3 linked regions of the Mytilus edulis genome follow. The protein of the gene in region 1 binds, or shares a complex with, the protein of each later gene. Links are inferred from orthologs where the notes say so. Each region holds a gene or a part of one and is shown on either strand. Other genes may lie near its edges. The genes, in order: protein lin-54 homolog, probable histone deacetylase 1-B and myb-related protein A-like.

Evidence for each region.
Region 2: protein lin-54 homolog (region 1) and probable histone deacetylase 1-B share a complex: the UniProt entries of both Drosophila melanogaster proteins name them as parts of the DREAM complex. The link is inferred for Mytilus edulis from reciprocal best matches to the Drosophila melanogaster genes mip120 and HDAC1.
Region 3: protein lin-54 homolog (region 1) and myb-related protein A-like share a complex: the UniProt entries of both Drosophila melanogaster proteins name them as parts of the DREAM complex. The link is inferred for Mytilus edulis from reciprocal best matches to the Drosophila melanogaster genes mip120 and Myb.

Annotation. Positions count from the first base shown.
Region 1 is NC_092352.1:33,268,658-33,279,756, forward strand, and holds the start of protein lin-54 homolog, read right to left. Parts: upstream 4,506-11,099; 5' UTR 4,434-4,505; coding exon 4,415-4,433; intron 2,472-4,414; coding exon 1,570-2,471; intron 1,247-1,569; coding exon 1,066-1,246; intron 1-1,065. Other genes in the region: COP9 signalosome complex subunit 4-like, read left to right, coding at 10,640-10,722. UniProt on the Drosophila melanogaster protein: Component of the DREAM complex, a multiprotein complex that can both act as a transcription activator or repressor depending on the context. In follicle cells, the complex plays a central role in the site-specific DNA replication at the chorion loci.
Region 2 is NC_092344.1:100,939,683-100,950,916, reverse strand, and holds the start of probable histone deacetylase 1-B, read right to left. Parts: upstream 4,250-11,234; 5' UTR 4,152-4,249; coding exon 4,106-4,151; intron 3,030-4,105; coding exon 2,917-3,029; intron 2,595-2,916; coding exon 2,477-2,594; intron 1,616-2,476; coding exon 1,541-1,615; intron 892-1,540; coding exon 753-891; intron 346-752; coding exon 204-345; intron 1-203. UniProt on the Drosophila melanogaster protein: Catalyzes the deacetylation of lysine residues on the N-terminal part of the core histones (H2A, H2B, H3 and H4).
Region 3 is NC_092350.1:20,927,874-20,939,633, forward strand, and holds the start of myb-related protein A-like, read left to right. Parts: upstream 1-7,395; 5' UTR 7,396-7,473; coding exon 7,474-7,520; intron 7,521-11,760. Other genes in the region: uncharacterized protein, read right to left, coding at 668-735, 1,335-1,395, 1,677-1,814, 2,541-2,750, 3,264-3,341, 4,498-4,542. UniProt on the Drosophila melanogaster protein: DNA-binding protein that specifically recognizes the sequence 5'-YAAC[GT]G-3'. Component of the DREAM complex, a multiprotein complex that can both act as a transcription activator or repressor depending on the context.

The sequences.
Region 1 (11,099 bases):
AATACAGTAGACCACTCGGCCCCGATATGTTTGGTAGTAAGTGCAAGTAAATGTATGCGTAAAACAGTCAATAGCAATTACACTGTACTAGCCACCCTTGATTATTTAAATAACAGTCACAGTTGCAAAGTCTTTATCAAACCCTGTATGACATCATGTAATCAATATCAATCTTGGTTGCAAAAGCTCATATCCAGATCAATCTGAGACACCAATATATTCCCAAGAGTGTTTAAGGAACAGCAAAGTAAGGGTCAAGGAGACTTCATTGTCCTAATCGCCATTGTTTTTCATATTGATTGAATGACAATCTTATATTTGGGATTGAAAACCAAAATATGTAGCAAAAGATAAAAACTTAATCAGCAAAGTAAGGATCAGACTTCATTGTCCTAATCACCATTGTTTTTCATATTGACTGAATGACAATCTTATATTTGGGATTGAAAACCAAAATATGTAGCAAAAGATAAAAACTTAATCATGGCTCTAAGTCTTGAACAACTAGATGTGTCAAAGCGACACGAATGGCCCAATCTCAAAAAGTTGGAAAATCTGCAATTTCAATAACGCATGTGGTCACAATCATGATGGTAGTCTCACATATCAAAAATCAGTTCACAATCTGGAGGCGTATAAAAAATGTCCATATAACTGTGATTTTCAACAATTTTCAAAGTTGTAAACCCTTAATTTTGGCAAAAATTAGCTGAGCGAAACGAAACTTAACCTTGATCTGTAACTCATCATGGTTAACTCACATACCAAAAATCAGCCCAATATCTGAAAGCATTTAGAAAAAAGTTCCGTATAACTGTGATTTTCAACAATTTATCAAAGTCCAAAGCCCGAAATTACAGCAAAAATCAGCCGAGCTGAACGAAACTTATATTTGATCTGTAACTCATCATAAGTAACTCACATACAAAAAATCATCCCAATATCATAAGGCGTTTAGAAAAAAACTCCATATAATTGTTTGTTGCGGAATGACGGACAAGTGTAAAACTATATGGCACCGACAACTTTGTTGCGGGCCATAAAAATGAAATTGTCCAAACATACCTGCAGTTTGGCCTTGCTGTGATGGAGCTACCAGTCTAACATATTGAACTTTGCTGCCTTGAATATTCTGCATGCTAGATAAGGGTATGGCAACTTGTCGTACACCACCTTGTGTCTGAGGTTTATTTATTGTAATAGCCTGATTTGGTTGGAATTGTATCTGTCCTGGTCTCTGCTGAACCTGATTTAAAATTTCATGATTAGTCATCTTAAATTATTTGAGGCTGTAAATACAACAATAATCCTAAATTCCAAAATAAATTAAAATTTCAAGTAGGTCTTTAATTACATTATTCTGGTTCAAATTTGACAGAAAATCATTTTAACTAACATTCTTTTATCAACCTAATAATTATATTTTTCTCTTTCACTATCGTGTATTGGTAAGCAAATTTATATGTCAAGACATACATCAATGTCAAATCTTTATATCAAACATGATAAACCCTTACAGTAAACATTGAAAAACGTTTTTGCTAATTATCCCTCTTTTATAATACTTACATTTTGTACCACTGTGCCTTGTTTAAAAACTTTTGAAGGTGATAATGTAATCATTGTAGGTCCTGATGACACAGGAACAGCTGTATATGTAGCACTATCGGATAAACTTTTACTTAATACAGATACACCTGAAGCGGGCGCTATCCTCTGCGGAGATTTGCCAACAGTCACTGGTATCATTGTTATTTTTGTAGGAGTCTTTGCTGGAGAAATAGGAATTTTTGTTATTCCAGGCTTTGGTGAGCTTACAGGCAAAGCAAAATATTGTTTTTGTGGTGACATAATTCCTTGCTGAGAAATTGTAATGGTCTTTGTAGGTGTCTGTGCACTTTGCGGCACCACATTGACAGCAGGTGCCATTGATTGATTAAACGTTAATGTCTGTCCATGTTGTAAAGACTGCAAAGATGATGGATTTAACTGAATTGGTACAGCTTGTGGTTGACTTGAGTTGGGATTTTTTGTAATTATAACTTTAGTTACCATAGGACTAGATGATGAAGCATTCAATTGTCTTTTTACAGCCTGAGAAGATGTAGTTGGTAAACTACTAGCACTTACAATTTGTGAATTGTCTATCAATGTACTAACAACAGATCCATCACTTAATCTTATTAACGTTCCTTCTGAATGTCCACTATCCGCTGTTGAGTTGACAATCTGAATTTGAGTATGATTATTAGAATCAGATGAATCCACTAGAACCTGATCAACATTTCCTAAGTTGGATTCTGTGGTCTCTAAATTTCCAAGTGTACCTTCCAGATTGTCTAATGGATTTAACACATGGCCTTTTAACTGGTTATAATCAACTGAAATAGTATTTCCAGAAAAGCTGTTGGAATTTATTTCTATTGACTGAGCAGATGGATCATTTTCATGAATGTTTACTACACCAATGCCTGCAATCATAAAATATAAAAAACATGAATAGGTACATTGTATTTTTCTGCTGTGTTTTCAGTTAAGAACAAATAATGAAAGAAGACCTCCAGTGTTTTCCATAGAGGCTTGAAGAGGGTGTATATGCATCCTGACCAATATAAGTGGTGCTCCTATTGATTAACTTTAAAATTAAATCAGAATTCCCCATCACTCTGCAAAAGCCTGCATTGTTCAAAACAGAATGAAGCACATACATTTGTACCAAAGTTGAAACATATGAGATAATATAAGTAAAATAGAGTTTTCAGTGAATACATATTTACACGTGCACTTGTATACAAATTTGACCGCCATAATGTAAAATGATACAGGTTCCTGTAAACTTTGACATCACATTTAGAAAGCAATTGTTTATTAATGTCACAGTTAGTCACAGTTAAGTTATTCTCAGCAGATCAAAGGTCATTCAGAAACAAAATTCAGCTAAATACGAAAAGTGTATATACGTTTATCTGATGCAATTTTAATAAAAAAATAAAGAAGAAATGCATACAATCTAAGCCTAGATGTGCAAGTTTACTGGACTGCATCGAATACCTTTTGTAACCAGAGTTCGCGAAAACTTCGTTTGACCCGTCGGTCATGGGACCGACAAAGCAAGATTATTTGTCAGTCCTACAAAATTTTAGCCAGTCCTAAAAAATCTGTCAATTTGATCCTAAAATAAAAATAATAACATATTTTATCCAAAAATATCTTTTATTATTATTAGTTTTATTTTTCACAGCCACGGACAAATTAATAATGAAGTACGAGTTCTGATCTTCTGATTGTTCTTAATTAAAGTCATTTCTCTATCTATTTCATCAACTGAATCATTTTCTCAGTATTTGTTATCTCCATCTACGATTTCAATCGCCTATTGTTTGCCAAGAACAAGTTTAGCAGGCCACGTGTAGATCAGCACTTTGGTGTCCATAGGTTTCAGTTTGTTTAAAACAGGAATTACCAATAAAAAAAGGAACTACAACAGCTGTTTTTACATCGGTCATCAGGACCGGCACTAGCTTTCAAAATACTGGTCCAAGCCTCATTTTGACCGATAGGACCGACCATTTTCGCGAACTCTGTGATACAGGGAAAACAAATTGAAAACAACAATTTTAATTCTTTTTTCTGGCTATTAGTTATTTGATATATTCAATCAGGCTTTTTTTTTGTGTAAATTGTCAATATAAAATACATACACTTATGAGTTATAATGTCTGTGTAAAATTTCCTGTGTATAGACCAGCATTGAGCGGAGCACCTCAACTGCATGGAATATATTCAGGCTTTTTCAGGCTATATATATATATACATTTGTACATCTCTCATTGCTAGTGAAATATCACTGACATGACTAATGCATTTAGTTAATATACATAAATGTTATTTAAAAAAATTAGTTGAAACACATTCCATGAAATTAAACATGTTTTCTGTTCAGCCTCAGATTTTTTTGCTCTTACATATTTATGATGAATGTTATTTGAAAGAAAACTATGATAAGCACTTTTTTCCTGTCAAACGAAAATTTTTCCATAGGAACAACTCAAATAACCCGCCATTTGCCCGACATGAATGCAGGGAAATTTAAAATGACGAAACTAAATCCAACTTCCTAATTCCGTCAAATACAACCGCAACAGTAGCTAATTTTGTTAAAACACATGCATTGATGTTTGTTTTAATTACTTTTATGTATTGCTGTTTATCTGGGAGGCTGCAGTTAGTATTTGATCATGAAGACGTGGAAAAATCGAACTTATTGAGAGGGGTATGAACAAAAAATATCGCCATGTTCTCTTATTTTAGAATTTTGGCAGGCGTTCTATATATGAGGAGATAGATAAACAGTCAGTTTTTGCATGATAACACGCTTATTATTCTTTTGTTCTTATGATTATTTGCAGCGTACCCGTTCTCTGGGCAGGCATTCTGTATTTGTTCAAAATCACGCGCCCACCATTACCATCCCATAATACATTGCGGTGTTGATTTCCGCGAAGGTGATTGAAGTAAAGCTATGATAATATTTAGTTTTGAATAAGTGAAATGACGGGAAATTTGTTTAAAAGAACTTACTTTTAAATGTGTTTGAAAAAAATATAATTTCCTTTAAATTTTCAATATTATTTACAAAATCAAACAGTCGATATTTTTATTTGATCTGAATGAGGATTTAATAGAAAAATGACTTCTGATAAACCCCGTTTAAAATGCGTAAACAGATAGGCAACACTTTTGTGACGGAAAAAAATGTAGATGATATCATTTCTTTCCGATCTGTAAATGCAATACCTTTTTGAAAGATACATAAATTAAAAAAAAAATTGTTGAAATGTATTCATTTGCATTAAGTAATATAACTAAGGCACTTGCCGGAGCACTTTAGCAGATCGCTAGACATTATGAAATACCATGCAAACTATAGTTGTGATTGGTTTTTTTTTTTTAAGAAGAAAATGGTGTTTAAATTTAAGTAAAAATGTTACATGTCTGCACATGGACACACATAACTATTTAAGAATACACTAATATTTGATGTCAATAATTATTTTCTTCTTTTTTAAATTTCCTCACGAAAGGCACGAAAGCAACTCCCGCGCATATATTTATACCATTGTCTGTTTTATTCCTGTTTGTATTTAGTAATTTCATCACTACTAAATGTAAGTGTGGTTTGTGTAAATGAATATTGTCTTTTCGTCAGTCTGGGCCTGGATATTATACTGATATATAATAGTCAATATATTATTGTCAATAAGTCCAAATCAAAAACAAAACGTGACCAAAAAAAAAGTTTTCAACATGCCTATGAGTTTGAATATCCCTTTGGTATTTTTCGCCTATCTTATTGAGATTTTACATTCAAGATTCGACTGTTGTATTTATAAGCTGATTATATACATTTAATCAAATAATTGCGCTCTGAAACTCATTTAACGCATCTGATTGAAATCTTGAAACAGTAGACTGAATCAGACAACATGACTATGCAGTGTCGATTTTGGACTTGTATAAGCATTTTTAGTAATCTCCAACCAGAATTCATACAAAACTCTCTCAAAGACAAAAAGAGCATATTGCAAGAATCTTTTTGTTTCCATTTTCAGATACATATTGTATATTGATATTGTTTTTCACACAAACACCGCATTATTTTAAATGAGTGGTTACATCTCATATTTCCCAGTGAACGTTCGATTAGGGATACTACCAAAAGTAAAAGGTCTGATTCATTTCTTGATAAGTTCCTCGATATCGACCCAGAAAGACTCCTTTAAACTAGAATATATATGTCATGACAAACGTGATGACTTAAATTTTTCAATGGACTACTTCCCTTTTCCAAGCAGTAATATAATCTCTGCTCACAGGCGTTTACATATATCTCAGTAAAAATCTTACGATCATGCTTGTTCGTAGATAAGAAGATGCAGTATGATTGCTAATAAGACAACTCTCCATCATTATTTTTAAAAGTAAACACTTATAGTCAAAGTACGGCCTTAAATAGAGAGCATTGGCTCACACCAAACAGCCAGCTTTTTCGTTACCCATAATCTGTATGTATTAAACACACATTTTCAACCAAATAAGTAATGCCTAACTTGATGGATTAATGTCACAGGCACTTGCATCTGATTTCTAAATCGCTATACCTTATATAAAAGTATATAAAAAATCAGAGACAAGTGCCTAAGAATCAATTACCACTGGGTTTTTTTCTTGAGCCATAAGCAATCATATTCTTTTTGTTATTTTGATTCTGGGAAGGGACGGCTCGAATGCCTAACGTGATTCAGTTGTAGCGAACATGTCAAGAGTTCTGTCACCATGTGGGAGCGTCTTTTTACTTTTTCAAAAGCTGACTGATATTTATAAAACTGACTTAACTGATTAACGTCTAGTCTTAAGTAAATTGGCGTATTGAATAAGCAACATCCCTGAAACATTATATATACTTACGATCTGGTTACATAACTTCGTCCAGAAAATGTTGAACTTCCTTTACATTATTTGGAGTTTTCCGATTTTGTACTGAGTCATCTGTATTCAGATGTGGGTTAATATCATCCTCACTTACAATGCGACTTTCTTTTCAATTACTTTACATTTGATAGATTTATTTTTAACCTAGAAATTTGCAGACGTCCCAGAACTTTGTTTAATTGTTCAAAATAATGATCACCAAGGTTCGGACTACATAATATGATATTTACATAAACTTTCAGGTAGGTTAGAAGTATCTTACATGTAAACCCCTGCATTTTAATTCCATATACAACGCTGAAAGTGGACTGTGAGTATTTCATAACCCAAATAAGATATATCAAACACGTCATATTTTGTCATTTACAATTGTCAGTACCTGAAAATCACAAATTGAGAACACTGATGCATTTTCAACCAATAAAGACAGGAAGTTATTGAATTTGATATTGGATATACATTTTCCCATGTCTCATTGATTGCCCTTTAATCTATGGACCTCCTAAGAGTCACATCTTTTCCTGGACTAAAACCATTCCTGATGCATAAACAGACTAATACGATACAGGGCCGTAACCATCCTCTTTTGATAGTGAGGCAAAATATATTTGCTGAGCGTAGTAAGGCGAAAATTTTTTGGCGAAGCTCTGAGAAAAATAACGCAAAATCGTGCATTCTGAGCGTTTCCTAGACTTTCCTTGCATTGAAACGGCTTAATTAGTTTTTGGCTATTTTTTTCGACAATATTCTGGTCCCAAAGCAAAAACATAGATTCATTGTATTTTTTGTAATTTAAGACTTTAAGGTTCTAGATACAACATTAGTCTGGTTTAAAAGACCGATATGTAGGATAAAGCAAAAATTGTAATTCTCATAATTATTGAATACCGGATCTGTCTGTCTGTTCTTTTCTTGTATTGTGCTTAGACTTTGGTGATTTTATTTATGACTAGATTTAAATATAGTGACAGTGCAGTATTATACTTTAAGTACTAGTTCTGCTTAAGTTCACACTAGAAACAATTCTTCACCTTGTTTTACGGTATTAATGATTCTCTCAAAGTATTGTTGAAGACCCTCCAGCAACTATATAGATGAAGAACAGGAACAAAAACTTTGACTATTAATCATTTGTATTTTTTCTATGCATTGACTTTGTGTGCGATTAGGTCCTCTGAAAGTGTACTCCATATTCCTTTATTTTCTCAACACGACTTAATGCAAGTTTAACCCTTTAATGTAAAAGATCACATATGGCAATACCTTGTTGTTATTTTTTCAAATTATTTGATACCGGGTAATAGGTGACCTTACTTTAATTCAAACCATGTCAGCTATCTAGTTTTATTTACAAAAAAACTATTTTGTATTCTTTGATATCAATTATTTGTCCATGTAGAAAGGACCATTTTTTTGTGTCCAGTAGCATCGTATATATATTCTAAAAATATTTTCTCGCACAATGTCTGGAATTCGAGGGACATGCAACATTGCAAAACCACGTTTACAAATGAAAATCAACACTCAGACTATAGTCATAAAGTAAGACAATAAATGAACAAAAGACAAACCCGGGACACAGGAAAATAGAAACATGCATGGATAACAAAAAAAAAAACATGCAGGGGCGACATCAAAGAGTGAAGAGAACTTGCGTCTTGAAAGACACTTTCCGTGAAAAACAATTTGATATGAAGACAATCTTTTGTTTCTTTTTTGGTTTTTTTTTGGGGGGGGGAGGGGTTCTAACATGAGGCATATGCCTTATTTGCCTCAATGTAGTTACGGCCCTGCGATACAATAACCCAGGGGCGGATCCAGCCATTTTAAAAGGGGGTTCCCAACCCAGGACAAAGGGGTGTTCCAACTATATGTCCCCATTCAAATGCATTGATCGTAAAAAAAGGGGGATTCCAACCCCCGGAACCCTTCCCCTGGATCCGCCACTGTAACTAATGCTGAAGCTGTTCTTGTCGTATATCTATTTTATATTTCCTAAGCATGTTCTGTTGAGAAGATTGTCAAAATTACAATTATCTTGAATTTATATGGTTTAATCGGATCTCCCAACTAGTATCTGAAACCTGTAACCAAATTGCACATCACAACATCAATTACCTTCGTCAGATGTAGTAATTGGCTTATATGTTATTCTCCCGAATGAAACACAGATGCTAGAAGGGTCTAGTTGACTTATGTATTGTCCTGAAAACTTCAAACGTGGTGACATCATTAACAGTTTTAGGTTTTTCGTTGGGTATTTTTTTGTGAACGTATTACACCATAATAACTTATCTAAATAAACTCATCATAGATACCAATCCAATTAAAGTACACAAATGTATATATCTCTATAAAGAAATCAGAGATCTATATTTTAATCAAATTGCATAGATACCAGGATTAAAAACTGTATATACGCCAGACGCGCATTCGTCTACAAAAGACTCATCAGTGACGCTCGAATCAAAAGTTTAAAAAAGCAAAATAAAATACAAAGTTGAATAGCATTGAGGACAAAAAATTCCTAAAAAAAAATACCGAATACGGCTAAGGTGATCTATTCTTGTATTCCTGAGGTAGAAAAGCATAAGTATTTAAAAAAAATCGGAGATTAGTAAACAGTAAATTTATAATTATGACCATATAAATGATAATTCATGTCAGAAGTGTTGACTACTGGGCTGGTGATACCCTCAGGGAATAAAAAATCCACCAGGAGTGATATCGACCCAGTGGTTGTAAATAAACTTCTTATAGATACCAGGATTAGAAATTCGTATTTGCGGCGACACTAATATAATTTGCTACGTCAGACTACTATACAGAAGACTCATCAGTGGTTCTCCAATCGAAACGTCAAACTATATAAAATAAGCATTAAAAACCGAAAAATCGACATATGCGTGTTTCTCATAAAACAAACATCTTCAAAACCTCCTTAAAAATGCTGTTGATAAAACGTCATTACAATAAATGGATAATAAAGTAATTTTAAAGGATAAGTGTGAGTAAAAACCACAAAATCTCTTTAATTATAGTATAAAAAAATTTATGGTCGAATCTACTTGATTGCAAAGCCGAAGTGGTACACGACCAAAACGACCAATGCCAAACTGGTTCCATAACCGAAAATACCAAGGCGAAGAGGCACCATGGCCGAAACATCGTGCTTTCAACCGTTTCGTCTCTACACCTGTCGGCCTTGATAGTTTCGGTCCTTGGATCTAAATGTCCGTGTCTATCAATGTTTACGAATAAGAAAATAAGAGGCAAGTTTTTTTTCCTTTTTTATCTATTATATGAATATAGAAAATGTAATAGGCGACAGAGTCAGCTAAATATTAAAATTTTCTTATTTTTTTTGTCAGTAAATTGAAGTCTCGATTAAAGTAGATCAAACTATGTACATCTATTATGACAAATGATCGATATAATATTCATCTATGCACCACCTAAACGTCACATCTTTTCCTGGACTAAAACTATTATTGATGCACAAACCTACATGAACGTTTAAAAGACTGGCGTTAAAATTACCCAATACTGAAGCTGCGCATAATAAAGTCATTTATAAGAAAAGAAAATTAATATATTTTTTTTATTCAAAATATTATGAATAATAATTGTACTGCATCAAATAATAATTACTATCTTAGTAGATAATCGATTTCACCAAAGATATATATCAAATAGAAAAAAGGGGGGTGGGGGTAATTCCCAAAGAGCCTATGAAATGAGGGTTTATTATAAGACCATACAACAAAAACGGTTTCCTTATAAAACAACTTGTGTTTCTATGAAATATTTTTTGAAACTTGACAAAAAAAAAGGGGTAAAAAGTCAAGTTCCTATATGTCTTGCTAAGGATTTGTTTAGAAAGTCTTACTACATGATACAAATCCTTGGTCTTGTGAAATTTTCATTATATAGTTTTAGACAAGAAAAATCTTTAATTGTCATCTCCTGTATCTTTTTATATTCAAAATTAGATAAATTTGAACATTTTTGGAAAAATGCCAACACGGTAAGGGGGTAAACAAACTTTTCCGGACTTTTAGAGCATGTCTTTTCCGAAATTTTATTATTAGATCTTCAACAGCAAATCGTGCTACCCACTTTAGTTTCGAATAAGTTTTGCGTCAAAATGGCCTCAAATTTTAGGCAACAACTTTCTCAGTTAGCCACATTATCGCACGGCGGAGGTTCCCACAAAGATGTCACAGAAAAGTATGAATATATTTGTTTGTAAAAGAATTATACGTTTAAACTAAAACATAGTGCATGTTCCTTTTTATTTGTCACATACATTTTGTATTTCAATAAATTAAACAAATTTTTCAAAACATTTTTTTGAGGGTATTTCTTGTCGGATTTTTACCAGGCGCGGATCCAGAAGGGGGGGGGGGTTGGTTCCGGGGGTTGGAACCCCCCTTTTTTTTTGGACGATCAATGCATTTGAATGGGGACATATAATTGGAACCCCCCCTTTGTCCTGCGTTAGGTACACCCCCCCCCCTTCCCCTTTTAAAATGGCTGGATCCGCCCCTGATTACAAACCAGAGGTTCAAAGATGCACACATGTTTGAAGATTTTCTTTTACCTGA
Region 2 (11,234 bases), on another chromosome or scaffold:
TGATCCTTAGCCTGGGCCAACAACGACTTTTTAATTGGTATTCTTTGCACTCCATATTGCATTTTTAAAAGATGAAGAACACAGTCTTGGGTCATACTTACGTGTCCAGTGTGGTGGCAAGTAATTCATTATTAGCTAACAAGTTAAAAATTCAGCTTGCCATGTCCATTTAGTCCAAATACGAGAACATTGTCTGTACTCACCCTCAGGTCCCCAGTACCAGGGAAATATTCCCCGTATTTGTGGAATGAGACAGTCATAACTCTATCTGTTGTATAAAATGCTTCTTCTACACCGTCACCATGATGTATATCAATATCTACATACAGAACACGCTGGTGATATCTGTAAACATGAAAGATAAATGATGAATCTGTATTGCAGTGGCTCTTAAAATAATGTTATTCGCAACAAGGTTCTAATCTGCTGATTAACTATATTTCAATTGTATATTCAGAATTTTTTATCATTACATTTGTTAACATTATGAATATTTTCCACCAAAAAAAATGCAGATTTATGGTTGCCATTTTGCACAAATTGTTAGGTTTTATTATGGCATTAAGGTTTATATTTTGTAGCTTGTACTGCCTCAAATTGACAAAAAGAAAATGAAAACATTATTGTTTCTTTTTTTATCAATCCTTTTCCAAGTCCACTCAGCTATAATATTGAAACTCTTTAACTTGTATCATCTGTGGAAAATGAATAACAAGGTATAATAACTTGATGTTATATTTGACAAAACTTACTTCAGTAGTTCTAAGATAGCCAGTACGATATCATTGACGTAACAGAACCCTGAAGCTTCTGATTTCTTAGCATGATGAAGTCCACCAGCCCAGTTAATAGCAATATCTGCTGCTTGTTTGTTTAATTTTACTGCTCCAGCTGTATTCAGAAAATAAAAATATGTCAGTGACTGTTAGAGTTGTTAACAATCATAAAAAGGTTTTGTAGTGTACATTTTATAACACCATGTCAAATTTGTATATACTACAATTGGCTGAATTCAATCATAATAAACAGATTGATTGTGCTAATTCATATAAAGCAATTTAAACTTTATATTTATTAGGGGACCTTAATTCAAATTCTTAAATTCAAAATTATGAATACTTTAAAAAATATATATGCTATACATGCAAGTTTCAACTATAACATTTAGGAATTCATTACAAATAGTTATTTTTCCGATTTGAAATTCTGGGGAGACAATTTCCATTTACAATATTAGTTTATTGAGATATCACATTCCTATAGCTAGAAAGTCCTAAAAAGGCCACCACATGCCAGAGTACCCTTATAAATGTACTACATTTGATGGTACAGGTTCACTATACTGCACTCAGATAAAATGGTTTTAGTACTTTGAATATGCATAATTACTTCTAAAATATAATTTTCAAAAATGTTAAAACAAGAAATTTGTTCTTGTCAGAGTATATGTGATACTAATCTACAGAATTCATACATTCCATCAAATCAAAAACAGGGCAGTCATCTCCAACGTTAACTTGTCAGAGTATTTAATACTAACCAACAGAGCCACCAGTTGACAGCTGACAGAACTCATACATTCCATCAAATACAGGGCAATCTTCTCCAACGTTAACTGAAAAGATTTATAGATCTTATAATTTACATTTATTTACATTAGTACAATTGACCGGTATTATCAAAGTATTCATAAAAACTTTCAGTCTGCACGGTTAGCCACTAGTCCGATGCCCCAGACTAGTAAAATTTCATTTCGGACTAGTAAGTTTTTGCAAAACTTTGTTTGGCCCAATAAGAAAAATGTCAGAATATTGGTCTTCGGACTAGTAGTTGAAAAAGTTTTTGGTGCAGACTGTTATTTGCTATGGCCTTCAATAATGTTCAGCTTTGAATTTATGTTTCAACAAAAAATAAGTACTGAAATGAGAGCAACTATTCTGTAGACACTTTTTTCAGACGATTAAATTTACTTAGTAACTTTGTAATTCACACATATAGTATTTAATTTTAGTTATTCTTGGTCATTTAAAATTTAATTTGTTAAAAGTAAAACTTTAACCAGTATGGACATGATGGATAAATGGTGAATGTGTCACACAATGGGACACAGATGATGCCCCCACTTGCATATAATGTCCGAAAGGGACATATGAATCCCAGAACTGTAAAAAGTGACTGCCCAAATTTGTACTTGATCTGATTTTTGTTGTAAAAAGCATTGGGTATAAGTTACATAACATTTGATTAAGACAAACTAAAGTAAAAAATCAGAACAGAAACGAAACATTCAACAATTTTTCCATTTGTTACTGTAAAGGGGCATAACTCTTGAACTGTTACAACTTATTTTAAGCATTGAATTAAAAGACGATTTTTAATTGATTGATGTTTGATTTTTGCCGTATTAGCTTCAAAAGGCTATACTGTAGAGATGTTACTAAAGAGAGATAAAGTTAATAACATTATATATTATTACATCGCTGCATCTGTTTGTTGTAGTCCGACATGTTATCTGGTCTTATACTTCGTAAAAACTTGATGTAGTCATCACTGTGGAACTTTGTCATTTCTTCTTGTGTGGCTTTGTGTGGTCTCTGTTGAAAAATAATAATTTATATAAAAAAACTTTTCTAGATCTGCGTCTCTTCATTTTCTGTTTAATAATATGAAAAACTACATAGTCATCAATTAATGCACCAATGCTCTTAGAAAAATAACTGAGAAGATTGTGGGTCACAATGTCATCCACCAAAATATTAATGAACTACAATGTATGTCAAATAAATGTAGTGTACAATACAATACTATTTATAATAAAGATCGTTTTGAAGGAAAAAAGTTTGGAATATAATATTATTTATACTTGTAGAGACTGCAGAAATTTTATTGATCAACATTATTTATACTTGTACTTACATAAATTTCCATCTTCCTATAAAGTCCATAATTAAGTATAAGGTTGTGTGTCATACGTATTCTGTGTGGCTTCATGGGATGACCTTGGCCATAGTAGTAATTTCCAATGTCTCCTATTCAATGGAAATATTTAATTATTCAATTATGATTTCAAGTGAGAAACTGAATATGGAAATATAGCTGTACAAGAATATTAGATTGGTTATCCAAAATTCAGGACATTAAAAAAAGCTAGAGCATGGTTTTCACAAAGAATTGTTCGTGAAAAGTTCAGCAAGCCAACTCATCACTTTGGACATATTAAACAAGTCCATAGTTCTGACAAAATTAGTATCTGTCATCTACTTATTCAAAGCCTCATCATTTATTTTAGTCTTACAGTTTTAACGAAATACATGTATAAACAAAATTCTATTTAAATTATATTTCAATTTTTTATTATAAATTTCTAGTCTGAATAACAAGCCTCAATTTCACCTTACAATAATTCATTTTATAGTCAAAATCATATTATTAGCTACCAAAGAGTTAGAAAAATAGAAGATTCATATTTGAAATGAGACCCCTTTCCCTAAAATAATTTGAGGAGACAATGACATTGCATTATTTATCTTAGTTTCACAATCCTTTGTCCTTTGGTCCCTACTATAGCATAAAATATAAAAGAAAAATGGGCTTCCATAGATTGAATTTTAATGTTCTATCAGCAAATTCAAAACTTTTGATAATAAAAGTAATAAAATGCTTGTTTCATATCATAAGGGTTGCAAAATGCTCTTTCCCTTAAATAATTCAGCCAAAAACGATTTTTAACTGAAATAAAAGTGTTTTAAAAAAATTGTTACTTTCGTACGCCGAGCATGGGAAAATGGGCTTCCATAGTTTTTCAAAGGAAATAGGCGCGATTTTGTATAATTAGTGTTTCTCTGCAATAAATTAATTCAAAACAATACCAGAACAAATATAATATGTCTTTCATCATAAATAAACATAAAAAATGATTTAACAATACATAATTTCAGATTTTTACATCCAAACGTGAGCGGCTTTTTGGGGCCTGCATAGGGGAACGGACGCTTCCAACAAAAGTTTTTCCTATTAAGTGAGTATAGTACCACTTTCAGTCCCCTTAAAGAAGCAATCGATATATTTGAGAGGTCGAAAACTAAAATATTGTTTATGAACATACCATCGTAATAATAACAGACTCTTTTCTTGCTGTGTTGTGAGGCCATTGTTCGAGTCAAGCGATGTTAAATTGCAGCGCCCTCTATTAACAACGAACGACAATCAAGTATAGTTCTTCCCGGAATAATTTTAAAATAAACTTGTATTGGAATTTTGTCGAATCCGAAACTAGATATTTAAAGTATCCACGAAAACATTTTAATTAATTGATTAAATCTAAGAATAATTTAGCCCCTTATTGAATTTAAAATTAAAACAAAAGGACTAAATACTTAAGAATTTTCAACAGGAACTTTCCCTCGAGTATTGTATTATATGTCTCTGAGTATAGAGGGGGAGGACAGGGGGGTACCCTTCTCCCTTCTCCCACCCCTCTTCTCCTTTCTCCTACCCCCGTTCTCCATTCTCCCATTAGAATAAAACATCTCTTTTTGAGATATTTTTTCTTGAAATATTAGATCATTTTTTAAAAGGAGAGATATTTTATTTTTTCTCCTTTCTCCAACTTTTTCTCCTTTCTCCCAGCCTTCCTCTCCTTTCTCCTACCCACTTTCTCCTTTCTCCCACCCCCTTTCTCCTTTATCCTACCCCCTTTCTCCCTGTCTCCCTTACCCCTGTCCACCCCCTCAGTATACTAACTTGTCACAGTCTTAGAATTGTAGAAATTCATGATGACATGGTTTCTTTTGGATATATTTTATCGGGATAAGTTTTAACTTGAGTTTTATCAGTATTGAAAACGTTCGACCACTGAACTTACTTTTAAATAGTTCTTAATATTTTAAAAGAATTACATTGTGTCATGATGTAATATTTTTGTTCGACCAGTCCCAGATGCGGATTTAGGGGGGGGGGGCAGGGGGCCCGGGCCCCCCTTTTTGGGGAAAAAATCGGTTGCTTATCACAGGCACTTGTTTCTATCCATACGAAGGTCGACTATCCATTTATATGGATAGTCGACCTTCGTATGGATAGAAACAAGTGCCTGTGTTGCTTATATAGGGAATCACTGAAGCGACACTCGAGCAGGCCCCCTCTTAATTAGGTCAGTCAGTGGGCCCCCACTTATGAAACTTGAATTTCTGGATCCGCCACTGAGTCCTATTTAGAAGTCAAGTAACTTGTGATAACTGTCTAGAGTGTCTTTTCCAATGAAAGATTAGGTACTAGTCAACGGTGATGACTGCAGACATACTTAATTAAATGAAGCATCTTGATAAAAGGAGAAGTATGAATATACGGCAATGAGATACAGACAACCGGCCATAAAAAAAAACCACAAGACATCGAGGCATCTTAATAAAAGGAGAAGTATGGATAAACGGCAATGAGATAACAACCAAACAAAATGAAAAAAAAACCAACAAGACATGGCGGCATCTTAATAAAAGGAGAAGTATGGATATACGGCAATGAAATAATAACCAACTAAAATAAAAAAAACTACAAGACATGGAGGCATCTTAATAAAAGGAAAAGTATGGATATACGGCAATGAGACAACAACCGGCCATCAAAAAAAAACCAAAAAAAACACAAGACACGGAGGCATCTTAATAAAAGGAGAATTATGAATAAACGGCAATGAGAAAACAACCCCCCCCCAAAAAAATAAAAAAAATACAAGATATGGAGGCATCTTAATAAAAGGAAAAGTATGAGTATACGGTAATTAGACAACAACCCAACAAAATAAAAAACACAAGACATGGAGGCATCTTAATAAAAAGAGAAGTATGATATACGACAATGAGAGGCAACAACCAAACAAAATAACAAAAACTTAAAGACATGGAGACATCTTAATAAAAGGAGAAGTATGCATATACGGCAATGAGATAACAACCAAACAATAAAAAATGTACAAGACATGGAGACATCTTAATAAAAGGAGAAGAATAAATATTCGGCAATGAGATAACAACAAAAAAAAAACAAAAAAAAATACAAGACATGGAGGCATCTTAATAAAGGGAAAAGTATGGATATACGGCAATGAGATAACAACCCAACAAAATAAAAAAAAATACAAGACATGGAGGCATCTTAGTAAAAGGAGAAGTATGGATATACGGCAATGAGACAACAACCGGCCATCAAAACAAAAAAACCACAAGACATGCATATGGAGGCATCTTAATAAAAGGATAAGTATGGATATACGGCAATGAAATAACAACCAAAAAAAAAATAAAAAAATACAAGACATGGAGACATCTTAATAAAAGGAAAAGTATGGATATAAGGCAATGAGACAACAACCGGCCATCAAAACAAAAAACCACAAGACATGCATATGGAGGCATCTTAATAAAAGGAGAAGTATAGATATACGGCAATGAGATAACAACAAAACAAAATAAAACAAGAGGCTGTCACAACGACAGCAAACCGGATTTCAATATGATTAACATTTATTCATTTATTTGTGTCCTGGCAATATCACAAGAACCATAACTCCTGAACGGTAAAAGTCAAAATCGACATTATTAAACTTGACCTCCATTTTGTCATCAGTAACAACATATTAAAATTTGAAAAGCTTTGGGTGAACAGTTCATGAGTAAATGCACGGACATGACTGGAAACGCCATTTTTCAATCTTTCAAGAACCATAACTCCTGAACGGTAAAAGTCAAAATCCTCATTCTTGAACTTGACCTCCATTTTTTCATCAGTAACAACATATTAAAATTTGGGAAGCTTTGGTTGAACAGTTCATGCGTAAATGCACGGACACGACTGGAAACGCCATTTTTCAATCTTTCAAGAACCATAACTCCTGAACGGTAAAAGTCAAAATCGTCATTCTTGAACTTCACCTTCATTTTGTTGTCAGTAACAACATATTAAAATTTTAAAAGCTTTGGATGAATGGTTCATGAGTAAATGCACGGACAACATTTGTTTGCCGCCCGCCCGACCGCCCGACCGCCCGCCGTACATCCCCAAATCAATAACCGACATTTTTGTCACAAAAATCCGGTTAAAAACTACAAGGCATGGAGGCATCTAAATAAAAGGAGAAGTATTGATATACGACAATGAGATAACAACCAAACAACATAAAAAAACACATGACATGGAGGCATCTTACTAAAAGGAGAAGTATGGATATACGGCAATGAGATAACAACCAAACAAAATAAAAAAACACATGACATGGAGGCATCTTAATAAAAGGAGAAGTTTGGATATATGGCAATGAGATAACAACCAAACAAAATAAAAAAAACACATGATATGGAGGCATCTTAATAAAAGGAGAAGTATGGATATACGGCAATGAGATAACAACCAAACAAAATAAAAAAACACATGACATGGAGGCATCTTAATAAAAGGAGAAGTTTGGATATATGGCAATGAGATAACAACCAAACAAAATAAAAAAAACACATGATATGGAGGCATCTTAATAAAAGGAGAAGTATGGATATACGGCAATGAGATAACAACCAAACAAAATAAAAAAAAACACATGATATGGAGGCATCTTAATAAAAGGAGAAGTATGGATATATGGCAATGAGATAACAACCAAACAAAATAAAAAAAACACATGATATGGAGGCATCTTAATAAAAGGAGAAGTATAGATATACGGCAATGAGATAACAACCAAACAAAATAAAAAAAAACACATGATATGGAGGCATCTTAATAAAAGGAGGAGTATAGATATACGGCAATGAGATAACAACCAAACAAAATATAAACTACAAGACATAGAGGCATCTTAACAAAAGGAGAAGACAAATATGGATATACGACAATGAGATAACAACCAAACAAAATTTAAAAAAAAAAACCCACAAGACATGAATGCATCTTTATAAAAGAAGAGTATGGATAAACGGCAATGAGATAACACCCAAACAAAATAAAAAAAAACTACAAGACATGGAGGTATCTTAATAAAAGGAAAATAAAATTGAGAATGGAAATGGGGAATGTGTCAAAGAGACAACAACCCGACCAAATAAAAAACAACAGCAGAGGGTCACCAACAGGTCTTCAATGTAGCGAGAAATTCCCGCACCCGGAGGCGTCCCTCAGCTGGTCCCTTAACAAATATATACTAGTACAGTGATAATGAACGCCATACTAATTTCCAAATTGTACACAAGAAACTAAAATTAAAATAATACAAGACTAACAAAGGCCAGAGGCTCCTGACTTGGGACAGGCGCAAAAATGCGGCGGGGTTAAACATGTTTGTGAGATCTCAACCCTCCCCTATACCTCTAACCAATGTAGAAAAGTAAACGCATAACAATACGCACATTAAAATTCAGTTCAAGAGAAGTCCGAGTCTGATGTCAGAAGATGTAACCAAAGAAAATAAACAAAATGACAATAATACATAAATAACAACAGACTACTAGCAGTTAACTGACATGCCAGCTCCAGACTTCAATTAAACTGACTGAAAGATTATGATTTCATCATATGAACATCAGGCACAATTCTTCCCGTTAGGGGTTTAGTATCATACCATCATAACATATATGAGAAGAACATAACCCGTGTCATGCCAATAACTGTTTTTAGAATAAATGTGTTTAGTTCCGATGCAAAGACCTTATCAGTGACTCAATATTAACGCCAAAATATGCAATCTTTAATGACTAGACAACAGTATCGTAATTATATCCCTTCTTAATAAGTCTATTCAGAGGTTTTGTAAGTTTCTGAGGTGAATACTGACACCTTTGTTCTTTATAAAGAATATTTCCATAAAAAATTGGATGTGAAATACCTGAACGTATCAGAAGTCTGCATGTTGAGCTATATTTACGAATGATGTCTTTATACCGATGATAAAATTTAGTAAATGTTTTGACTAGTTTGTGATATCGAAAACCCTGGTGTAATAATTTTCAGTAATACATAAATTTCTCTCGTTAAAATCTAAAACATTGTTACATACACGAGCGAATCGTACAAGTTGAGATATATAAACACCGTAAGATGGTGACAAGGGAACGTCACCATCTAAAAACGGATAATTAACGATAGGAAATGAAAAATCATCCCTTTTATCATAAATTTTAGTATTCAGCTTTCCATTAGTGATATAGGTATGGGTATACGGTAATGAGACAACAACCCAACAAAATAAAAAAACACAAGACATGGAGGCATCTTAATAAAAGAGAAGTATGATATACGGCAATGAGACAACAACCAAAGAAAATAAAAAAACTTAAAGACATGGAGACATCTTAATAAAAGGATGAGTATGGATATACGGCAATGAACAAACAACCAAACAAAATTTAAAAAAAAAAACACAAGACAAGATCTAATAAGCTTTACGTAGATGGAATGAGACACATATCTCACTCTGGCAACACCAAGAGCGAGACACCAAACTTGAATGATGATCGACTATTAATTTTCAACTAGTCACATTCCAAACAATTTAAAATTTCAACATTGAAGCCCGGATCAATCGCCTTATAAACGTATGCTGTGTGTATATCTGTTTTAAAAGATCTTTGCTTTTCTCTCACAACTAAACAGCTTTATGATATAGCAGTCAACGGCAGACACACTAATAAATAATTATGTTCCTTAGTCAAGGATTATACATATTTAAACATCAATTTAATCCCTTTGGCCGTCTACATGAAGGAAAAGCTCGTAATCAGAAAAAAAAAACTTACTTTATTTGCGATAAAGGTACTAAAAATGGGATATATTTAGTACAATCTGATGAGTGAGAAGGAATTAAGTAAAATGTTTATGTATATATAGTTAATCCCGATAATAGTTTTACGAGTAGTGTTTTAAAGACTGTTGTTTGTTTCAAATCGCTTTCCTTGTTGACCTTGGTGTCTGTTTGTATTCCACTTCTTTAAATTGACTCCGGTTTTTGAAGAATGCAATAAGAAGGTTGAGTTCTTTGTTGTTCACGATTAAAGAAACATCTATACTACAGAGACCAGAATGAAAAGTATGTAAGCAGCCAATATAAAAAAGACCAAACACAAAGAAGACGAACGTTGGACAGTCTTCAAAACATTACATACAAATAAATACTATATGCAACATGAAAATCTGTCGTGAAAAGTATAAATTCGGTGTTAAGTCAATGACATGTTGGATATTGTCACAATCGAGGAACTTCAACTTTACTATTTGGAAGAAGTGGTTCGATAGCTTTCCTGTAAGCAGAAACATTCTTGAACTTGCAAAACAAACAATGCTCGTGAAATAGAATAGAATGAAATTCAAAACAGTGTGGCTGTGGCCATTGATTGATACATTAAATTCATCCATTGACTGGGACAATTTACGTGAACGTTTGTCTGTAACGACCACTGTTCACGACGTACCTACGATAGACATTTAAACTGTGGGGTTACCAAAGGTTTCTTAACGCCTTTAATTATAAAATAATTCGAAAAAATAATCACGAATAACCTTTATGTTTTGATTTATATAATTGATATAAATCAAAACATCGTGTTATTTCTGATTAATTTTTCGAATTACTTTATTAAGGTGTTGAGAACCTTTGGTGACCCCATTGTTTAAGTGTCTTTAAAAAGTACATAGTGAGCAGTGGTCGTTACATACAAACGTTCACCTAAATTGTCCCAGTCAATGGATGAATGTAATGTGTCAATCAATGGCCACAGCCACACTGTTTTGAATTTCATTCTAAGTAAGGTGGAACCGCGGGGTCTGAGAATAATCTACAAAAATTATAATATGTGATACATTTTGAATGTTAATCTAATTGTGTAGTACGATGCTCAAACACTGTCAATTAATAACAATTAACTGAACTGTACGTTGTAGACGAGAACTATGTATTGCATGTATATTGATCTCTCAATCTTAATTCAGTAATATACTACCGAATTAGACTATTAACCGGATTTGTAATAACATACGCAACACAAAATAAACGGGTATCACATGTGGAGCAGGATCTGCTTACCCTTCCGGAGCACCTCAGATCACCCCAGTTTTAGTGGGATTCGTGTTGCTTCGTCTTTAGTTTTCTATGTTGTGTCTTCTGTCTTATTATTTGTCTGTTTTTTCTTATTATTTTTAGCCATGGCGTTGTCAGTTTATTTTCTATTTATGAGTTTGACTGTCCCTCTGGTATCTTT
Region 3 (11,760 bases), on another chromosome or scaffold:
TGAAATATAAAGTAAACACAGTAAAAACTGTATACATCACTGATACATCTCTGGGCTGAAATATAAAGTAAACACAGTAAAAACTGTATACATTACTGATACATATCTGAGCTGAATTATAAAATAACTACAGTAAAAACTGTATACATCACTGATACATCTCTGGGCTGAAATATAAAATAACTACAGTAAAAACTTTATGGCATTGAAAAACACTTGTCAGACCTGAAAATTATTGAGCGTTAATTGTGAATTATTCGTCTTTCCTCTGTAAACATAACTACCCTTCACCATTCTCTGTCTTAGGTATTTTAAAATCTTTATTCTCTTGTTAACATTATTACTCTGGTTCTCTTTCAAGTCTTTTCTCACCACTAGACTGGTATCTGTTTAGATATTACAAATAAATCAATAAACCTTCTTAGTTTGTCAACACTTTCAACAGGTATTTGTGATATTAAGATCTAATATAGTTTTGTGGTCATAGCCATTTCTTTCATCATGACAGTTTAAAAGGGAATTTCCAGGAAATACTTGCACAAATGATTTAGTCAGAATTCAAATTACTTCACTAAAGTCAATTGAAAGTCTTGGACTTTTATAAAGAAGAGAAATGGATCGGTGACATCTAGAATATGATCATAATCACTACCCCTATATAACATACCTTTTCTAGTGGAGTTTCCCAGTATTTTTTACAGGAATGAAAGTTACAAACTATTTCATTTAATCCTTCTGTAAGAATAAATATACTGATAATTAATATAGGACAATTTAATAGAAAGTTAGGTGAAACAACTAAGGGCTGTTTAAGAATTGAATGCAAAGAGGTATTTTTTTAAGTCCTCATTTATCTTTAAAAAATCATATATATATTCCTATTAAAATTTTAAAGGAAAATACAACTACCAATATTTAATTAATTGAACTATCTTCAATCCTCCCACTCAATAAATTCGGGAAGCCCCAACATTAAATAAGTGATATATCATGCAAGATATTTCAGAATTCCATTTATATTTGCTACTTCACAATTTTAGGTGATTTAAAAGTTATATTGGATCTATATAGTAAGTAAATAACAAAGGATGATTTACACACAACATACAATGTATAATGGTATTATGTCCAAATTTTATTTACACCAAAACTGCCTTCAACATATAAGCTACACATTTTCCACACATTACAGAAGTAACTGTATGGAACAAATTTTGTTTTATTCATTTGAGTTTTACATATTTCAAAAAAAAAAATGAATAGGTTTCATCCATTTTATTAAATTTGTGGGCTAGAGAATACACAACACAAAAATACAAAACACATATTATTACCTTCTAAAGTAAGTGTGGCATTCTTTGATAAACCTTGAGGAACACAAGTACTGAATACTTCCTACAAAGACAGAAACAAACCATTATACAAAATTCTTCTTTTAAACTGAACATGTAGTGTCAATAGTACAACTTAACACCTAGGTAGCAAATCAAGTGAAGACAACTGAAATTTTAATAAACTTTACAAAATCTGATTTGGTGTCTTTTCACTCTTTTTTTTATTGATAACAAATATTTTTAGTCAAAGCCCAATTATAATGTATTTAATGTTTTTCATTCTTGTGAACAAGTACATGTAACCATTATATGTTGACTTATCAATATAGTATTTATTTTTACCTTGCATCTCTGTTTAATATCTTCCATATCTTCTTCTAAACATAAGGAAATATCCCAGAACTCAGCTGTTTGTATACCGGCAACTATATCACATCTATATAGATCACAATAGTCAGCTAAACATAACACATCCTCCCCCTGTCAACGAAATAAGAAGTTAATGTTTAGTCCTGCTGTGTCAAAGATGGATATAGTGAGCAGAAATTGTAATGTGCTATTTCACAAGGTAACAGTCATCAGAAGACATGTCATCCTACCAAGACACATTATTCACACTTCCAGCCCATGTGTCTTTGCTTTGACCAAGCTAGGGTTCAAACCCTCATCCTAATTGTAATGATCACGCTACCAGGAGACCACTGAGAACGTAAAAAGAAAATATGAAATATTTGTAATATTTATGTTATATATTCTATTTGGTAATTTTTGACACTCAAGCCACTCAATAGTTGCAGAATTGAATGTTATCAATGTGAAAGAAAATAGTTGTTGGCCAAATGTTAATGAAACAGCAACCAGGCAAACAACACCAGACACCATATTACATTCTTTCTCTAATTTCAGAATAAAAGTTGTGCTAAAATTTAAGCCTACAGCTATTAAGCTGATAAATAAATGTATTATGTTCAGTTACAGATCAATTTTGAACTTTGTGTTCTGGATGACTTACTTTTCACAGAATAATGAACACAAACCATCATACCACAGGCAGGGGGTATTGTATAGTCCAGACAAATATGTGTACATTTTCTTTTACCTTTTTTTTATATGAAGATTATATTGACAATGACAGTACATGGCCAGAGCCTGATCATGCTGATATTTAAATATAAATATACTGCAGTAAAAAGTTGTAATCTTTACCTGTCTAATGTATTCTTTATGTCTGTTGGTAAAGTGTAGATCTAAGTAATACTCAGCGATGAACCCTTTACCACAGATATTACAATACCACTTATTGGGTGGCTCATTATATTTTTGGTCCTCTTGGATGGCATAAATATCTCTCTCTTTGTTTAGGATACATGTATCTGGAATCTCTGCTTGGACAGATTTGTACAATGGATATATTTTCTAAAATACAATCAACATATTGATAAAACTCTACTGAAATTGCAATTCAAATATCATAAACTCAATGCATTACTTCATATTCAACATGTTTAAGAGTTGTCTTTGTCAATCAATAATTTTAGAAAGGAAAATACAACTATAATAGTCAATAAAACTGAAATGAATAATTCCTTTCGTTTTTACTTTAGAATTTTTTCAAATTTATTTCTCAATCTTATTTTATCTGATTGTCATTTAAATAAGAAGTGTACATGTATATCACACGTCCACTCCTGTCTTGAGCAGATGTCATTCACAGCAATATCTCTAGACGCAAATCATTGGTATTTTTAAAAAGCAATAATTCAGTAAAAATTAATAATAATCAGGATAATGTTGGTCCTTACATGAGATGCTGTTCAGAAATTTAATTAAAATAAAATAAAATAAAATGAAATTTATAATTATAATCATTCATATGTATATATTTAGATGCCAGAACATTTTTTTTCAAATGTCTACCTATATACTTACTTCAGTTATTACACGTCTAACAACCCTGGATCTCTCTCTAGAACATCCATCTATATAACCTATCACAGTAAACAGGGTCTAAAATTACAAAAATAAATTGAGTTTCAGTCTTCAAAACTATTTTTTGTCCTCTCATTATTTTAAGCTGTTCCTTGAACAAACTCAGGTTAATTTTGAATAGGAAATGTTACCATGTGCAAAATATATCAATCAACAAGAATATGTGGCTTGTCAGTGGTTGGTTTGGGGTTGTTTGGGGTGGTTGTCACAGATGTTTCTTGATTCTTGTTTTCTAAATAGATTTTCTTCTTTTTCATATATAGTCTGTTGACTCTCCAGTTGGAATTGTTTTGCATTAGTCATTTTGGGACCCTTTATCATGTTTATAGCTTACTGTTGGGTTTGAGCAAAGGCTACATGTTGAGAGCCTTTCTTTGATCTTTAATTGTTATCTTTTTATACATTGTGACTTACAGAGTTGTCTCAATGTAACTCATACCACATCTTCTTATTTATACTGTATTATTTAGGGACACCATGCCCTAGTCCAAATAGTGATGATGTCTTGAATGGCTTTTTTTTTATTGTTTTCTGTGACGCCTTCCTACGATGTATTCTAGATACTTTGGTCACACCCTTATTATTATGTATGCATGTAAATTTAAAATATCATAATAAATAAGTGTACAAGTGTACAGAGTTTTAATTTCATGTGACGAGAACTTCATGGTAAACTTTACTGCACAGGAACCAGTCTCTAGCTATATGTTTAACACTGTTGGGTTCAATTTTCAAACTTAATATCCAGTTATATTCATCTGCATAACAATACACTACAGTGGGACAGAGATATAATGGTGAAGACCTAAATTATGGAACTAAAGTGTTAAAACTTAAGTTGTAAAGTAAATCAGAGACAGAGGCAGATCTATCATTTAGGGTTTAAAAAAAAAGGGGGGGTGCCCAGTACCACTCATGGAACAACTTATATTGTTAATGCATAGACCTTTTACATGTTTTAATACAAGCGTTGACTAATATGTAACCCTTTCAAAATCCTGGATCCACATAAAATTTGTGTTTACAAAGACAAGAATTGAAGTAGTATGGCTCTTGGCTGTGGTAACCAGTCACCAGTGGTTCACTCGAGAGACATGGCAAGTCTGATTTGTGCTGTAAACAAAATTTAACATTAAGATTTCCCTATGAGTATGATAGTGAAAGAAAATCTTACAACATAAAACACCAGATACTCAGGTGATGTGTATTCCAACTTCATATTCACTCATTCTTCATGCTAGATTGAATAGATACAAAGCCTTCCGAAAGGTAGATTTACTGTATCTAAAAAATTATAAACATATGGTAACCAGTTGCTAGGCCATGCATATTGATGATACTGTTTATATGCATCGAATGCTTATAAGATCTTATAAATATAGTTTAAACAGTTAACTAGAGACATGTATGATCTACAAAAATGAAAAAAAGGATTTAGAATGCATTGGAAGGTTAATTACATTCTGAAAGTTCAACGAATAGTTAATTTTTATGATTTACATTTTGCTTTAAAACTTTTTTCGTGAAGTAGAAAATATAGTACCATTTTTCAACATATTATTTAATCTATATTGGGAGGAACAAATTTACATTTAATATGTCAACTCTTAACTTATTTTCCAATTCTAAAATAAAGACAGACAGACAGACAGAATATTTTATTATAGTGTCACATACCAATACTGAACAATATCATACATAATAATATAAGTATAAAAATACAAATAAGAATTTAAATCGAAGTTAAAATATCGGTATCCAGTCATGACTGACTTATGAGACACTTTTGCTTTAAAACTTATTCTAACATTCATTTACAAATGAATAAATAAAACTTTTACATCACATTTAAAGAAAAAAAACATTCCGTTATACACAATATTTTCTGCGGTTAAACATAAAATATAAAGATTTTGCTAAAAAGGGTTGTTCTAAAATAAAACAGTCATCTTTGTAAGGTGTATGGTGAGGGCCCTCATGGGGTTTTTGATTATGTGATTACTTGGCCGTTTGTTTAATGATTATTTGATTATTAAGCCAAATATTTCATGATTATTTGATTACCTAGGACTGTATTTTTAGTTTATGATTATTTGATTACTAAAGATAAGCAAATATTTAATGATTATGTGATTATATTGGCAAAAAAATGGTGATTATGTGATTACTAGGACCCCCCCATGAGGGGCCTCTATGGTATTATTTTCACAATAAAAGACTCTTTATACAATATGACAAGCCGTTGTGGAATTTATTCTCTATTTATTAAAAAAATAAATCGTTTCAATTTTGTTTATAGAAGAAATATCATTTGTTAATAGAAAAATTATTTTTCAATATACTAAAAAATATTTTTTCAATGAATAGTCCTTTTTTATATTATAAATAAGTTTGTATTTTTTTATTGATTAGAATCAGAGACATATTTATATGTCTCTGTTAGAATTAATATTATGAATTCAATCTTTAATTTTTAAATTCTATGGCAAGCCGTTTTGGAATTGATTACCTATTTATTCAATTAATAAATCATTTATTAGTAATACTTCATTCTTACTATACAAATCATCCCCAAGGGTGACTGGGGTATAGAAATATGGTCGCTTGGTCTTCTCCCGACCGGCAGTAAAACGCTTGCCGAAGAGGGGCGTCCGTTTGGCTGTGCGGGATGTATCAAGTTCGCAGTCACGTCCGGTCAGAAGGGGGACGTTAAATCCGATGCCTCGTGTAAAGAGAGTGCCACGCTCTTTGCACGTTAAGAACCCTTGCAACAACTCTTTGAGGGGTCCGTAGGTGGCCTGTTGCAAGGCAAAATTTCTATCCCTATCCAATATACCCTCCTTTTCCGGTGGCATTCCAAATTTCTCCAACCATCATCACAGATGGCCTCTATTGCATCAACCTACCTATTGTATTTATTGTGAACTTGTTCTCGTCCTGAATATGATACGAAATATATGTTTTCATTATTGACAACAGAGACATATAATGCAGACTGTACAATATATGATTACAATATTACTAATCTATTGTGTGAATACATGGCAACTCGGACAAAATTGCGATAATGTAGGACAGAAAGTCACAGGACAAAAAGTCATGGACAAAAAGTCACAAAACAAAAACAAAAACACAATTTTGTTTGAGATTATTATTCTTTGTTCAAAAACACTTATTTCAAAAATATTTTTTGGGTATTTTTCTTAAAAGTTTTATATATATAAAGCAACTATGTAATTAAAATTTATTCAATAAATATATAATGATAAAATAGTTGTTATGAAAACAAAATGTCAAAGTGGCTTGGTACCTAAATGGCTTCATTTTCTCAATATTCACATCCTTTGCTTGATTAAAATTTAATACGTTTTCATTTATCGAGGTTTATGAGAAATTTCCTTAACTTAAAAATAAAATATATGGGGGGGGGGGGTGTATGTAATTAAATGAAAATATTCAAAATATATCTAAAAAATTGTCAAAAAAATATTTGTGACTTTTTGTTCTATCAAGTTTGTGACTTTCTGTCCGTTTTCCTGATCCGATAGTAGTCTCATGAGAAATCGAAGACAGAGATAAGGTTGTCCTCATATCTAAAAATGAAGGTTCCTATTTTATTTTTAGAAATATTCATTGTCCAATCAAATTTCAGATATCATATCTGGATATTCCGACCGCGCAATTTAACCGCCATTGATGTCATTTCTTCAGCTGTTTTTTTTCCGTTTTTGTTTAGTTCTTGTGTTCTAGAAAGCATTTATTAACACTGTTTTTGTGACAACCAAGAATGGCAGTTCCGATGAATTTTTGGATGTTCAATCGGCATGCTTGAATGGCTGGAAGACAGGTAATTTCAACAAATTCAAACAGAAATATTTCATGTTGTCATTTTGCTTATGTTGTTTTCTCTTTCTTCCTTTTTTGCAACACATACATTTAATACATAATGATAGAACAAAAGAATGCAATTGGCATTGTACGCAAATCGGGGAAACAATGATAGAATAATGCGTCAACAGAAACAATAATAGAACAAAACATTTGACAGGTGCGACGTTGATTGATTACGTCACAATGTAAACAATCGCACGTGCCATTCACGTGGATTCTGTCAAAGATTTCCAGCGTTTAATATTTTAAGAGATTTATAATGAACTTTGTGTATAGATTGTCTCACTACCAAGGCATTCAAATATGGTAAATTATCACATTTATGATGCAAATTTCGTGGAAAACAGATGGAGAAAATATTGCTTTAAAATTTTTATTTAAAGGAAATATGCAGACTCATCTTTTATTCCAAGAGTTTCAGACTGTTTCATGTTTTCTTAGAAAAAATATGTTAGCCTTCAAACTGTTATCAACAAAAAGACTTTTAATTACAACATTACCACATTTTCTGTAATTAAATAAATTGTTTTTTTATAAATGAAAACTCACAGAAATGGGTGTTTGTCCTAAACTGACTATTTTTTAAAATGGTCAGTTTGTCATGAATGCATGTACAGTCTGAGCTATGAGACAAAAGCGAGTCCTCACTCAAAAATAGTCTCTTCTTCTTTAAGGTCAACAAGGCTTCAATACTGAAGAATACATGTTGTTGCGCATGCATGATTGACAAAAATTTATACAAAATTTATAAAAATATTTTATAACAATTGGAGTGTTTGTATTTACAGATTGTGATTAAAAATATATGTACATGTTTTGTTTGAATTTGTTTATTTAAAGCTAGAGAGAACCGCTGGTGTTAGTCGATCTCTAAAGCTGCCAACAGTGGTGGTTTCAATTACAGTTTGTGGTAGTAAATTCCATTGAATAATTGTTCGCAGGAAGTATGACCATTTGTATGTGTCCTTGGAAGTTTGGATGTGTCTATATGTCTTATGATTTTGTCTTGTTCTGCTGTCTGTTTGTTCACAAATATGCGATGGAATGGCTACTAGACAATGTATTACTTTATAAAATAAAATAAGTCTGGTTTTTAAGCGTCTCTCAGCTAGTGGTGGCCATTTCAACTGATTTAGCATGTTTGTGACACTGCTCGTGTAATCGTAGTTGTTGTGTACATAACGACTGTACCTTTTCTAATTGTATCTGTTGTTCTTTCATATGGGGGTCCCAGACACTACAACTATATTCCAGTTTGGGTCTTACTAGTCCTATCATTTCAACCAAAATCGATATTTTTTCAAAAAAATATTACCAAGTAACTGTATGAGCAATTTTTATAAAATAGATAACATAAGATGTAAAAATGTCTGAAATTTTATTGTTTATTTAGTCATAATTTTCTTGAGTTTTGTTTTCTTCATCTGATGTATTATACACAAATGCAAATTTTTACGATTTTAATTTGGTTAGAATTATAGCAAACTTTTCAAGAAATATCTTTCTTTGTGTTCATCTAGTCAGAAAATTAAAATGAGCATGAATAATATTATAACCAAATAAACAATAAAACTTCAGATATTTCTACATCTTTTGGTATCTATATTTAGAAAATAGCTCATATAGCATGTATAGTTACTTGGTAATAGTTTTTTGAAAAATATCGATTTTAGTTGAAATGATAGGTCTTTTTTTGACTGGGAACTCACTTTTGTCCAATGACTGTAGATGTGAACAAACATAAACATTTTTTTATTTTATCTCAATGCCCATTATTTATTTCCAAATTACTTGGAAATCTGTGGGATATACCTATTTTCAAAGTTTTGTCAATTTATGATGCCCCTTATGATGTCTACTTTGGGAAATCAATAATTTTGTGCTCTTTATATCCTTGTGTATTGTATTTTCACCTATTAAAATTTTGGTGTCTTCTGGCTATTCCTACATTTTGTATTTTACTATTCTGGCTATTCCTACATGGCGGATTAGTGGTAGAACAATACATGTTGTTATTGCAAGATATGTTGGTTTAGTCATTAGTGTCTAATCGGGTGAAAGGTAAATTTACCTGTTGAAATTAAATTTAAAAAAAAATTTAAATGTAAAATAATGGGATTTTTTTTGTTTGAAAACATGCATTAAGTTATAAAATTAATTATTTTAATCTTATGGAATTTGTAGAAAAAAAACTATTTAGAAGAAAAGGAAGTAAAAGCATTGGAAAAGAAAAGAAAAAGAAGTAAAAACATTTAAAAGTCTGTAAAAAACGTATTTAAAAAGAAAATTAATAGATACCCAAACTTTCAACTTCAGCCTCAAAAAATTTATTAATTTCATTATTTTAACAAATTATGATTTTTAAAAATGAACATAATATCAAAAGTAATGCTTAAAGTAATAAATCATTTTAGATAAGTGTACATTTTATATTGGCCTAATAGATTAAGTCAAGCCAATTAACTTTGAACTCTGATAAGCTTTTATTCGAGATCTATGTAACCAATTTAACATCCTACTTCAACCAGCCAAGATATTCCTCGACTACAAAATAGCCATCAGAAATGCAGCCACTTCAATCTTCCCAGGAATCAGCATAAAAGGGTGCCTTTTTCACTACACTCAGTGTATCTGGCGAAATGCACAGAAGCATGGTGTGCAGAGTGAATACAGTGAAAAGAGAGACATTCACCAACTTAATGTTCGTAGAGCTGCAGTTTAACCACCCAATACAATTGTAGATATTTGGTTTAATGCACTGGAATACATCGATGATTCAGATACTACTACACCAACACTTAACTTTTCTGACTATGTAACCAGCTACTGGGTAGAGAACAACCAAAGTCTGTGGAATCACTATGCAACAGAAGGTCATAGAACAACAAACCATTTAGAGGGTTAAATTTGCATAGTAAACTAAAAAAATAACTAAAAAAATAATTAGTAAATGCACCTCACCTAAACATCATCAGTATGATCAGGTTGTTGAGACAAGAAGAAGCCTTCAGTGCTCTCACATTGATATAGTACAGAGCTGGTGGGAAATGTATTCCAAGAAAGAGGAAGTAAAGGGAAATAGATGACAGACTCCAAACACTGAAAACAAGGTTACAGAATGATGAGCTTACTCCAGTCGAGTATGGAGATGTTGCTTCTCATCTCCTGCACATTGGTTAAGACTTTGTATTCTCTTATATGTTCAATTTATGAATTATGTGTAATGTATTACTGTGTGAGTGCTATGAATAATGTCAATTTAGTGTACTTTTGGTGCTTTGTTGAGTGTAACTCAAAATTAAGTGCTTTGATTCAAAGAATGATTTAACATTTATATTTCAATTGATATTATTTACTTGCACAAAATGTATATATTAATGTAAATAATTGCAATTACTTGTGTATACCATTATGCCTTTAAATTCCTATTGTGCTTTTGAATATTATTTACATAGACTGTGCTATGAAATTATTAAATGAAATAAAAGATTGTGATATAAATTATTCTTTTTCTTTATTTTACAGAAGAATTCCCTGGATTTACCTTGATTCATTAGATCTCATTAGTTTTAGTGTTGTTACAACATAATCCTACATAATCCCTTTGTTTTCATACAAATTCTGGGAACTCCTACATAAAATTTTACTATTTTACCTATAAAATTCAAAATGTAGGAATAGCCAGAATGAACCAAAATTTTCTCCGAATTACTCTCTTATATGTTTGAACATAGACATGGCTTCTATTTTGAGAGTCACTAGTATACATGTGCATAAAATAATTGTATCTGAAATATATTTCAATCTTTAATTTTTTTTTATATTTGAGTTCATTAGATAGATGGCACCTTTGTTGACAAAAACAAGTGTCTAGTGTTTTCGACCTACATGTATCTAAGAAACAGGTCCAAAGTCGGAAATGACATGTCGTACAAATCTGGAATTGGTTATAATTTGATGTCAAAGTTTATATCAAAGTGTTAGAGGCGATTAAACTTATGACTTAATGAATTAAGTGGTTATATAATATACAACTATAAGACATAAAATATTATTTTGATATCTTTTTTTGATTAGTTGTACACATTTTACTTGATGTACTTTGGAAGCCTTGTATGTCTAGGATCTTGTATACTTCATGTTTTTGATCAATATTTTAGTTAAGGAATTGTGAAGTGAGATTGGTGAGTATTGTCTGTAATTTCCACTGACAGACTGTTTTTTTCTGTTAGTAAAAATTAATTGATATTTCATTTTTTCAGTAAATAGCTGTAAGGATCATGCAAATTTGCATGTTAAAAATAACTATAAGTATTGCAACTAACCACATGACAGTCATGTGACTAAATGACCTTGATGTAAACTTCCCATGCAAAAGGACCTTTGCCATATTTTTAGAAATTTGTTTATTTTTATGCAGTTAAGCTGCATTATGCGAGCGCCCTAGATTTGTGTTCTACCCAATAAATGCTGAAATACTTGCCATTGTTATTATCTAGCTCGCTACTATGTTATATATAACTAATTGAACACTTTTTTAATACTT